Bombyx mori: one gene and its partners. The protein of the gene in region 3 purifies or fractionates together with the protein of the main gene of each other region. This does not show direct contact. Links are inferred from orthologs where the notes say so. Each region holds a gene or a part of one and is shown on either strand. Other genes may lie near its edges.

The links.
Region 1: the proteins of GATOR2 complex protein WDR24 (region 3) and GATOR complex protein NPRL3 purify together in Homo sapiens (affinity purification with western blotting; 6 studies listed by BioGRID and IntAct, with this or other methods). This does not show direct contact. The link is inferred for Bombyx mori from reciprocal best matches to the Homo sapiens genes WDR24 and NPRL3.
Region 2: the proteins of GATOR2 complex protein WDR24 (region 3) and protein SEC13 homolog purify together in Homo sapiens (affinity purification with mass spectrometry; 5 studies listed by BioGRID and IntAct, counting the BioPlex papers as one, with this or other methods). This does not show direct contact. The link is inferred for Bombyx mori from reciprocal best matches to the Homo sapiens genes WDR24 and SEC13.

Annotation. Positions count from the first base shown.
Region 1 is NC_085124.1:9,506,877-9,510,537, forward strand, and holds part of GATOR complex protein NPRL3, read right to left. Parts: coding exon 3,654-3,661; intron 2,902-3,653; coding exon 2,685-2,901; intron 2,196-2,684; coding exon 2,041-2,195; intron 1,695-2,040; coding exon 1,563-1,694; intron 790-1,562; coding exon 625-789; intron 92-624; coding exon 1-91. UniProt on the Homo sapiens protein: As a component of the GATOR1 complex functions as an inhibitor of the amino acid-sensing branch of the mTORC1 pathway.
Region 2 is NC_085131.1:3,993,618-3,997,341, forward strand, and holds protein SEC13 homolog, read right to left. Parts: upstream 2,849-3,724; 5' UTR 2,032-2,848; coding exon 1,462-2,031; intron 1,073-1,461; coding exon 701-1,072; 3' UTR 635-700; downstream 1-634. Other genes in the region: DNA polymerase epsilon catalytic subunit 1, read left to right, coding at 29-196; uncharacterized protein LOC101741756, read left to right, coding at 2,849-2,920, 2,999-3,058, 3,128-3,301, 3,381-3,524, 3,604-3,724. UniProt on the Homo sapiens protein: Functions as a component of the nuclear pore complex (NPC) and the COPII coat. At the endoplasmic reticulum, SEC13 is involved in the biogenesis of COPII-coated vesicles.
Region 3 is NC_085114.1:15,877,664-15,880,530, forward strand, and holds the end of GATOR2 complex protein WDR24, read right to left. Parts: coding exon 2,733-2,867; intron 1,732-2,732; coding exon 1,603-1,731; 3' UTR 623-1,602; downstream 1-622. UniProt on the Homo sapiens protein: Catalytic component of the GATOR2 complex, a multiprotein complex that acts as an activator of the amino acid-sensing branch of the mTORC1 signaling pathway. The GATOR2 complex indirectly activates mTORC1 through the inhibition of the GATOR1 subcomplex.

The DNA of each region.
Region 1 (3,661 bases), on a different chromosome or scaffold from region 3:
AGCGGGCCAGCCGCGCCGAGCCCCCGCACCCGCCGCCCGCGCTCCGCGATATGTACCACAGCGGAGCCGGCAGAGAGAACTCACTGAGCATCTGCAAATACAGAAATAACGTAAATAAAATGACTAAACACAGATATTTTTTTAAATGTAATAATAATAGTAGGTAATTAATTGGTAGGCAGCGGCTTGGCTCTGTCCCTGACATTGCTAAAGTTCATGGGCGACGTTAACCACTCACAATCAAACAGACAAAGAGCCAACAACTTGTTCATCACACAATGTTTGCCCGATGTGGGAATAGAACCCACGACCCTCAGCGCAACAGTCAGGACCACTAACCACTGCACCACCGAGTCAGTCAGTTAAACTTTCTTTCGTTTTAGTAGCAATTGTCGAGGTTTATTGTCATTATTTTTTGGGATATTCAGTTTTTAAAATTCCGTTTAAAAATTAAAATCGAAATCTAAAATCGATAATCGAAAATCTTGTCTGTGATTATTGTCAATTTTCATCATTATAGGGTGAGCGAGCATAAGTAAGTTTCTATTGAACAATTATATTTTTGTGATACTTTAATTCCTTTATAAATTATAGTGCGTAAAGAAAATAATGAATGTCTCATACTTGCAATAAACATAGCCCAGGAAACTCCTTGGCGAATTCATCGACAAGAGGTGAATGTATGTGAATATTCGCGCCGGGGGCCACAACGTATACATTCCCTTCGCACAATGGATAGATCACCGTCGCTTTAGCCCAATACACTAAATGTCCAGTTAGTTGAGAGACCTAGAATAATTCGAAAAACATTTTACACAATTAAACCTGAAACGAAATATTATTGTCGCTCATAGAGCTAGCTTAGTTTGGTTTACTTTTTTATTTAAAGATTGGTATTCATTGTCCCTTTAAATACTACGCAAATATTATTTTAGGGTACAGAACAGTTTAAAAAATTTAATTTAAAGTTTTAATATGTAAGTGATAGAAATTGAAGTGAAGGGTTGTAAAAGGTAATTAATTTTGGTTTTTATTTTTGTACAGGTATGAACGGCATCGATTTTATGACCCACTTGATACTGAGTAGTCACCATTGTCGTTCATGGACATCAGCAACGGTACAGACACCACCAAGCCATTACCGACCAGCCATGTTTATATTTAAGCCTTGAAGAAGGCCGTATCATATCACTATGTGATTATCATTTTTTACCAATCACTTTGCTTTTAAGTACTCAAAACACGAACCGCTAATTGTGCTTATGCATCCTTTTATATCAATTATAATTATTTTATTCCGAGAGTATTCATTGAAACATACAAATGACATGTACACAATATGTATGTTAATTACTAGATAAGACTAGTTTAGTTAGAGTAAATAGTCACAGAACCCTGTTATATGTATACATTATTGATTTGATTATTGATTATAAAATAATGAGAAATTTAGCTCATATTGAATTTCTTAAACCAACTTGCTTTTTAGACTTCCTTTTAATCTAAAAGAACCTTAAAAATAATAAAATTTTGACTTATTTATGGATTTATACTGTTTATACCTGTTTGAATGTCAGATCCGCTTCTATGGCCAGTGTTTGAAGACTTTTTAGAGGGCTATATAGTTTAATAAGTCGCAGCAATGCAGAGCTGCCATCCAGTGGTATCGACGCCAACAAATCATTTGGATTCACCTTAAAGTAAATTAACAAAACAATTCACTAGTACAAGGATACAGTTCTTATATTAGAAACGTCAAATGTAGTAACGGAAAACATTATTGAGAAGAGTATTAAGCAGTAGGCAGCGGCTTGGCTCTGCCCCTGGCATTACTAAATTCCATGGGCGACGGTAGCCACTCACCATCAGGTGGTCTGTATGCCCGTCTGCCTACAAGGGCAATAAAATAAATAAAAAACTTGTGTTCTACTATTTTGATAATATTCTCATTTTAATTTGTTGAAGTCACTTTTCTTTTATGTTTAAAATTTTCAATATTCATAAACACTAAAAAAGTTGTATGTATATTTGATTACTTACAAGTAGTAGCATGCCGTGGTATGGCCTCAGTTTTTGCAAACATTTGTCTATTGTTTCCGGTTCTATTATCAATCCTCTGTTGTGAATTTGATGGGCTTTGTGGGGCAAACAGAAGGATAGAAGCACCCATTTATTTACACGTACTTGAACTATGCCTGAAAATTAAAGCAAAAGCTAATTTCATATCTAAATTGTTTTTGTATTTAAACCAAGTTATCAGAATCACTTGTTACTAATTAGGTATGATGTTGTCGTGACTTAAATGGAAAGGGCGTCTGGTGTACTTATATAGTGCGACTTGACCATTATGGTGTGCAAATTACACAGACAGATATTAATCGTTGCAATACGCACATAACATGTTCTGATGAGTCTGTGCGGTTACCAGCACCCTGCTTTTATTTGCTGCAAAGCCATAATTAATTTCGGTTCGAAGAGAAGACCAGCTGTTATACTATACATATAGTCGAGACATGTCTCATATCATAAAAGCGAGGGTATTTCAAGGGCAACATTCAGACTGTGAAGTTTTTCAATTCCAGTAACCACTTAATACCATGTAGGCCTAGTACAAAAGTTTATTGTACTAGGCCCACCAGTAAAATTTAGTCTAGATATGTTATATTTTAAGAAAAGTGTTTAACCTGTGCTACTTAGTTCCTCAAAGACAGATTTCATGGACCTAGCTAATGAACTCCTTTGTAATATTAAGTGGTAGGCAGACATTGGGCCTCCCTCAAGGCCATTATCTACACTATATGTTGTAGAACTAACAGAATGTCGGAGATTCTCTTCCTCTTCTTCATTATCACCATTAATTTCACTGTCGTTCCTCTCATTCACTTCATCATGAGCAGCTAGCTGTAAAAATATGAAAAAAAAAATTTTTATAGCTTCAGTTGGTGGACGAGCCCACGGTCCACCTGGTGTTAAGAGGTTACCGGAGCTCATAGACATCTACAACGTAAATAAAGCCATATATTGAGTACGAAAGGTCTGATTTTACAGTACAATAGCTACCCCACCCTTCAAACCGAAATGCATTACTGCTTCACGGTAAAAATAGGCAGGGTGGTGATACCTACCCGTGCGGACTCACAAGACGTCCTACCACCAGTAATTACGCAAGTTATAATATTTGGGGTTTGATTTTTATTACACAATGTTATTCCTTCACTGTAGTAGTCAATCGTAAAGATTTGTTAAGTACGTATATCATTAGAAAAATTGGTACTTGCCTGCGGTATTCGAAGACCTTCTTATCCTTTAGGCCACGACAACTTCAAAAATGCAACAACGAAACAAAATCTTTTTTGTCTCCACAACGCTGGGTCGGCAAAGAGAATGGTTCTATTCAATTCTCTTCTATCAGTCCTCATCTCAACACTCACTCCGTTCCTCTCTCTCTCTCTCTCTCTCATATCTTCCATTCACACACTCCATTCATGTCTTCTTCGTTCGACCTCTTCCCCCACACCATTTCCATACATCTCCTAGTCACTTGCATCTCCTCTCTACGCACCAAAACAACAAAACAAAATATTCAAAACACATTTTCCTGTTTTACTTTATACTACTTTTGATTCCTAAAAAGTACATTTATAATTATTTACCATAATTT
Region 2 (3,724 bases), on a different chromosome or scaffold from region 3:
AATTTGAATCTATGTATATTTCTTCCAGGTAAAACGTGAGAATTTGTCTGTGGTCTGTGATTGTGCTGGAGATTTTTCGCTGATGGTTCCCGTAACAGAGATCAAAGACCAACTAATGACTTTTAAGACAATAGCCGAATATTATCAGATGCCATTATTGTTAGAACAAATTGACTTTAATCTTAAAAACATGTGATAGTTTGTATTTTAAGTATAATTTTTTTTATATATATTATGTCCCTTTGTTTTATTTCTATTGTCACAAACAATTAAGACAAGAACCCAAATATTTTTACCTATTCTAGTTATTCTGGCGACATATGGCAACATACTTTCCAAGGTGAAAAGTACATTTCTCTAATTTTTATTTCCATGTCAAGTATACATGTGAACTTTTCTCTTTAAACTAAAAATATCTCTTTAAATTCTATAAAATATACTATCAAATTGAAAATTATTGTGTACATTGACAATAGTGACTTCATCTCCTCAGCCCATGTTCAATACATACAGTAATAATAATCATAGCAATTTATTTAAAACCTGTTAGATATGTCACAACCCAATTATTGGATTATCAAATTGAATATATAGATTAAATCTGGGTTTTGATGAAGTTTATAAAAGATCAGTGTTAATGTACATATTTTATATTACTATTAGCAGATTACAAAATTAACAAATGAAATTAAAAGCAAATTCAAAGTGTGCTTCTTTCATCATTGGGTGTTTGGCCCAAACCTTTGGCAACTTCACTAATACATAACCACTGGCCATCAGTGCTCTCACGCCAAAGGCTGACTTTGTTATCTCCTCCTGATACAGCCAAGATGTTGCCAGTGAGAGACCAGCTAACACTCCATACTACATCATCAAATGTGTTTAATATTGTTGGTGTCCAAGATACATTATCATCACTAGACCATATGACAACCCTCTTGTCTTGGGAGCAGCTGGCAATCATGGAACGTTGTAATCCCAGAGAGGGTGCCCACGCTACATCTCTGACCCAATCAATGTGCAACTCTAATCTGTTCTCTTCAACCCATTGATCACCTTGCTCTCTCCAAATCTGAAAACAACAACCGGAATAACTAACTAAAAAAATTATAATTAAGAAGCATTATGATGTCATTAAATAGTAATCATTAAATACAGGGTTTATTAAGAACATATCGATAATAAAGGACAAGGTAATTTTAGGTAGATATATTAAAAAAATTCAACTAATTATTGTTGAAATATATCTATTTTCATTTAAAATTAACTAATGCATGCAATATATGATATTGTGAAAAGAAAAATTGCTGCCTTCTTTTTTTGCCTTATAAATAAATAACCCGGAATAAATCACACACATTCATCTGGCCCCAAATCAGGATTCTCTGTGGCGCAACAGTTAGGAGTGCTAACTACTGTAATACAGAGTCAGTAAACAATTAAACACAACTTGTAACATACCTTGATTAAATTATCACACCCTCCAGTAACTAATCTCTTTGGAGCATCTTTATTGGTAAGCGGATCTAAGTTCAAATCTGCAGATAAAGCTGGGCACCAACTAATAGAATTAACACCAATGGCATGTGCACCCGTTATCTTTTTTACGTCCCAATTACCAGTATCTTGTGAATATTGTATGATAGAGATTGAGCCATCTGAACTACAACAAGCGAGGATTAAGCCGTACTCAGCCGGCGCCCACGCAACAGAGTTCACAGAGCTTTCGTGTCCAGTGTATTCGTATAGTTTAGTCCACTCTCCAGACTCTTTCCATATGATAACTTTCCTGTCATAAGAGCATGACGCTAATAGGTTCCCATACTTGGGATGAGCCCAAGCTACCTGCCACACGGGGCCAAAATGACCCTTCAAATCAGCAGCCAATGTTTGTGTACCATTCTTAATGTCGTATATTTTCACTGAATTATCCGAAGAACATGTAGCTAGTTTTAGTCCGTAATAATCCAGTTCGGCGTCGTGTATCATATCTTCATGGCCGGTATCAATAGTATTCAAAACAGTGATCATTATTATATATTTTTATTAACCTACACAATACACAACGGAAAATGGGCAATCAACTGTCAAATCAGTTGACGTGGAATTTCAACAGTGCTACCAGTAAAATATTTTGTATCCATCCACACGAGCTATTTCGACATTGCAAAGACAGTCGCAGTGCGTCACCTCTAAACTTATTAGGTAAGTTTAACAATATAATAATAAAAAGTGGCAGAATTAAATTGCAGCTTCAACATACGCGACGCTACAACTGAATTATTCTTTTTATCAATTTTGTTATGGAAGCTAGAGATTTTCTTGATGATTCGAGATTATTGATCACATAGCTCCAACACAGTCTACAAAAAAGCACAAATATTTTAGTGCCAGAATGCCGCTCGTGTGTTAGAGGTCATAAATTACCTCTTTGGTATTATTTGTTAACCTTAGGTTAGCACAATCTTTGGTTAAGTTATTTATTTCTTTATTACTTTTTGCGCGTTACTTATGAAGTATCTCCCAAAAGTTTTAAGCATTTATATTTATAGCTAAACCTAAACTGTATGAAGATACTTTTATTGACATATCAAGACTAGGCCTCAAAAAAATTAAAAAATCTATGCTTTATGTAAGTAATAACCAAAGATTAAACACTGTGTCAGGTTACATTTGGTAGTTAACCAAAGATAATAAAGAGCTCTAGTAGAATCAAACAAAAATTCTGACAAGTCTGAAGCTGTTTTTTCTCTCATTCATCTAAATTCAGAATTGGATTGAAAATATTGATGAGCTAATTTACGAAAGTTTAAGAAATTATGAGAATTTCGTATCTGTAGACATCAAAATGTCTCAAAAAGAAGGAGGAATATTTTACAACATGCAATATTTATTACAACAAGATTATCGCGGGGTTAACGTATGTAGATAATTACAAGTTGATGTTGATAATAATAACTTTGTAAACGAAGCACTATCATCTGATTGTTGTTTACAGATAGCAGTATATGCTCTAGCCACCGCTGGTCTCGCCATATCTGTTCATAAGATTCGCCCTGTAAGTATTTGTTTAAAAAACCCTATATTAATAATTACATAACTATAAATAATAAAATTACTTCGATAGGTTAGCAAGTTTTCGAAAGCCAGTAAAGTTCCAGATCATTTCATCAGAAATCATGAACCTTTGAAAGGATTATATGCTGGAGTGCAACATTCACCAGTTCGTGTTCTGGTCAATCACAAAGCCCCAATATATTTACCGCTATGGCATTCCAGTAAACCTCCACTACCAGTTAAGGTAAATGTGATAAAAATATAACTTGTACGAAAATTTACCTACAAAGTAATAAAAATATTTTCTTTTTGTTTTGTTTTAGCTGTGGGGAATTGAAGTAGTTAGTGGGAATGCAGTCAATTGGCTGGAATGTGTTGCTAGGGGCCAGCAAGTGACATTAAAGCCAATCGGAAGAGATAATGATGATCTAGTTTCTACTGTATTATTGCATTTACCTCAGCCTAAGGTATATTTCAATTTAAACAAATTCAACAAAATACCTTAAATTATTAAAAATTACTCTTCAAAAATGTTTTCCATTTCAGAGTAAAGATGTTCAAACATTGGATATTGGTAAAAAATTGGTGGAGCTTGGATTTGCAAAAGCATCATTTCCTAAAGAATTAAAAAAGAATACCATTGAGTCACAAATTGCCCCTGCTCTAT
Region 3 (2,867 bases):
TTCCGGTGAAAAGGCTTTTCTCAATCTAGAGTGTAAAATTAGACACGTTTCGCTGTGTTCTTCTCGAGCTGTATACATGAGCGTTACGCCCTGTAGCTAAGTTTAGCTTATCTGCTTGTTTATGGTTGTCAACAAAGAGTTTCTAATGTAAATTAACTGCATGTAATTCGATTATAACCTGACCGGTCCGACAACTGACTCGCCATTACTTGACAGGCGTTCCTGACCCTTATCCGACAGATGTCACGAGTGAAGAGGGGTCTCGCAGCCGAGGAGGACCCCGCCCCCGACGACGCAGGTAGATGCAAACCGTCGTGCTGTTCTATATCTTAGTTTAACTTATAAAGGAAGTAATTTCCAGCCACTGCGCAGACGTCACGACTCGCCTCCCGCGGCCCGCCCGGGGTCGGCCGGGGGAGGCGAGTGGCGGGGTCTGTGGAGGCCGGTACTAAGTCACCGAGCACCTCCACTACTAACGTTAACTGTCCGACCTCCCATAAATCTGAACAGCCTAACACTATGACCGCCGATGAAGATATCACTGTGGTCAGCTTGTTGTCAATGATACACTCAAAATACAGTTTGTAAATAAGAATACTTATTAAATAAAACCATGATTACATACGTTGCGTTGTTTTCTTTATTATTTGTTCACAAAATATATTCAATACAAAAACATAGCATCTGTACAATCTGTAAATATATTAATAAATTCCCATAAAATTTAAAATGTAATTTTATTTAGCGCGAGTTGATCGAGTGTTGTCTACATTAATATAATAATGAGCAGCGGCGCGACACTAGAAGCTATTTCAGTATGCAATATAATATTGTATTATTGTAAGTTATATCAGTGGGGCGGCCACCCAAAATAGTAATTTAAAATGGAAGCCTTAAGTTAGATAACTTTAGTCTGTTTAAACAAGGGATGGCTGTACTGCATACACTACAGACAAAAAATCACATGTAGTTAGCAGTAATTACGTGCGTACTGTAATAATTGTACTGATACAACTGAGACTGAAGAACTCTTGTCTCAATTTCGGTAGTGCTCATTTTTTGTTATTGAAGTCTATGGGCTCCGGTAACCACTTAAAACCAGGGGGGCCGTGAGCTCGTCTTGAAAGAGGAGGTCGCAGGGGGAGGGTGTATGTCTCAGCGTGCACGTCATCGCCCGCTTAGAGTAACGCACCTGGTGTTAAGTGGTTACTGGAGCCCATAGACATCTACAACGTATATGCGCCATCCACCAAGTTCTAAGGTCTCAAGTATAGTTACAACGGCTGTATCGCCCTTACCTACCCGCGCGGACTCACAAGAGGTCTCGCGCCCAGTGAGATCGCACACATGTATACAAATGTAGACGAGGACTAGTTTAGGTTGCTGGTCTCAATAGATTGGTTACATTTAACGAACACATATTTTTAAGATTTTATTCTAACAGAAACTATGCTTAAATGTAAATAAAAAATATTACAAAAGAGTATTTACTTTACACAAAATAAATCTCTTATCAAAATGTTCTTTTTATAAAAGATGTATAACTAAGATATACAATGATGGAAGAAACTTTGTAGAGTAACATTTTCTGTAAGGAGTACTTCAGCCTAGTTGACAGTGATGTCCGCAGCCGGCGGGACAGAGCTGGTGCTTCTCCATCCACTGGCGCATGTGCTCCAAGTGGCCGCCGTGCGAGCAGCCCTGGCACCACGCGTACAGCCCGCGCACCACCTGCCGCACCACGGGGGCCGAATTACAGTTAGAGTAGAGGGGCTCGAGTCGGGGGGACAGTGTTACCTGTCAGCACGGGGCTCGAGTCGGGGGGACAGTGTTACCTGTCAGCACGGGGCTCGAGTCGGGGGGACAGTGTTACCTGTCAGCACGGGGCTCGAGTCGGGGGACAGTGTTACCTGTCAGCACGGGGCTCGAGTCGGGGGGACAGTGTTACCTGTCAGCACGGGGCTCGAGTCGGGGGGACAGTGTTACCTGTCAGCACGGGGCTCGAGTCGGGGGACAGTGTTACCTGTCAGCACGGGGCTCGAGTCGGGGGACAGTGTTACCTGTCAGCACGGGGCTCGAGTCGGGGAACAGTGTTACCTGTCAGCACGGGGCTCGAGTCGGGGGGACAGTGTTACCTGTCAGCACGGGGCTCGAGTCGGGGGACAGTGTTACCTGTCAGCACGGGGCTCGAGTCGGGGGACAGTGTTACCTGTCAGCACGGGGCTCGAGTCGGGGGACAGTGTTACCTTTCAGCACGGGGCTCGAGTCGGGGGGACAGTGTTACCTGTCAGCACGGGGCTCGAGTCGGGGGACAGTGTTACCTGTCAGCACGGGGCTCGAGTCGGGGGACAGTGTTACCTGTCAGCACGGGGCTCGAGTCGGGGGGACAGTGTTACCTGTCAGCACGGGGCTCGAGTCGGGGGACAGTGTTACCTGTCAGCACGGGGCTCGAGTCGGGGAACAGTGTTACCTGTCAGCACGGGGCTCGAGTCGGGGGGACAGTGTTACCTGTCAGCACGGGGCTCGAGTCGGGGGACAGTGTTACCTGTCAGCACGGGGCTCGAGTCGGGGGACAGTGTTACCTGTCAGCACGGGGCTCGAGTCGGGGGACAGTGTTACCTGTCAGCACGGGGCTCGAGTCGAGGGGACAGTGTTACCTGTCAGCACGGGGCTCGAGTCGGGGGACAGTGTTACCTGTCAGCACGGGGCTCGAGTCGGGGGGACAGTGTTACCTGTCGGCACACGGCGCACAGGTCGGGGTGGGGCAGGCAGCGGTCGCACATGGCCCGGGGCCGCGCGCGCCGGCCGCAGCGCCCGCAGCACACCGTGACGCTGCTGGACTGCTGGGACAACGACCACACGCTGCT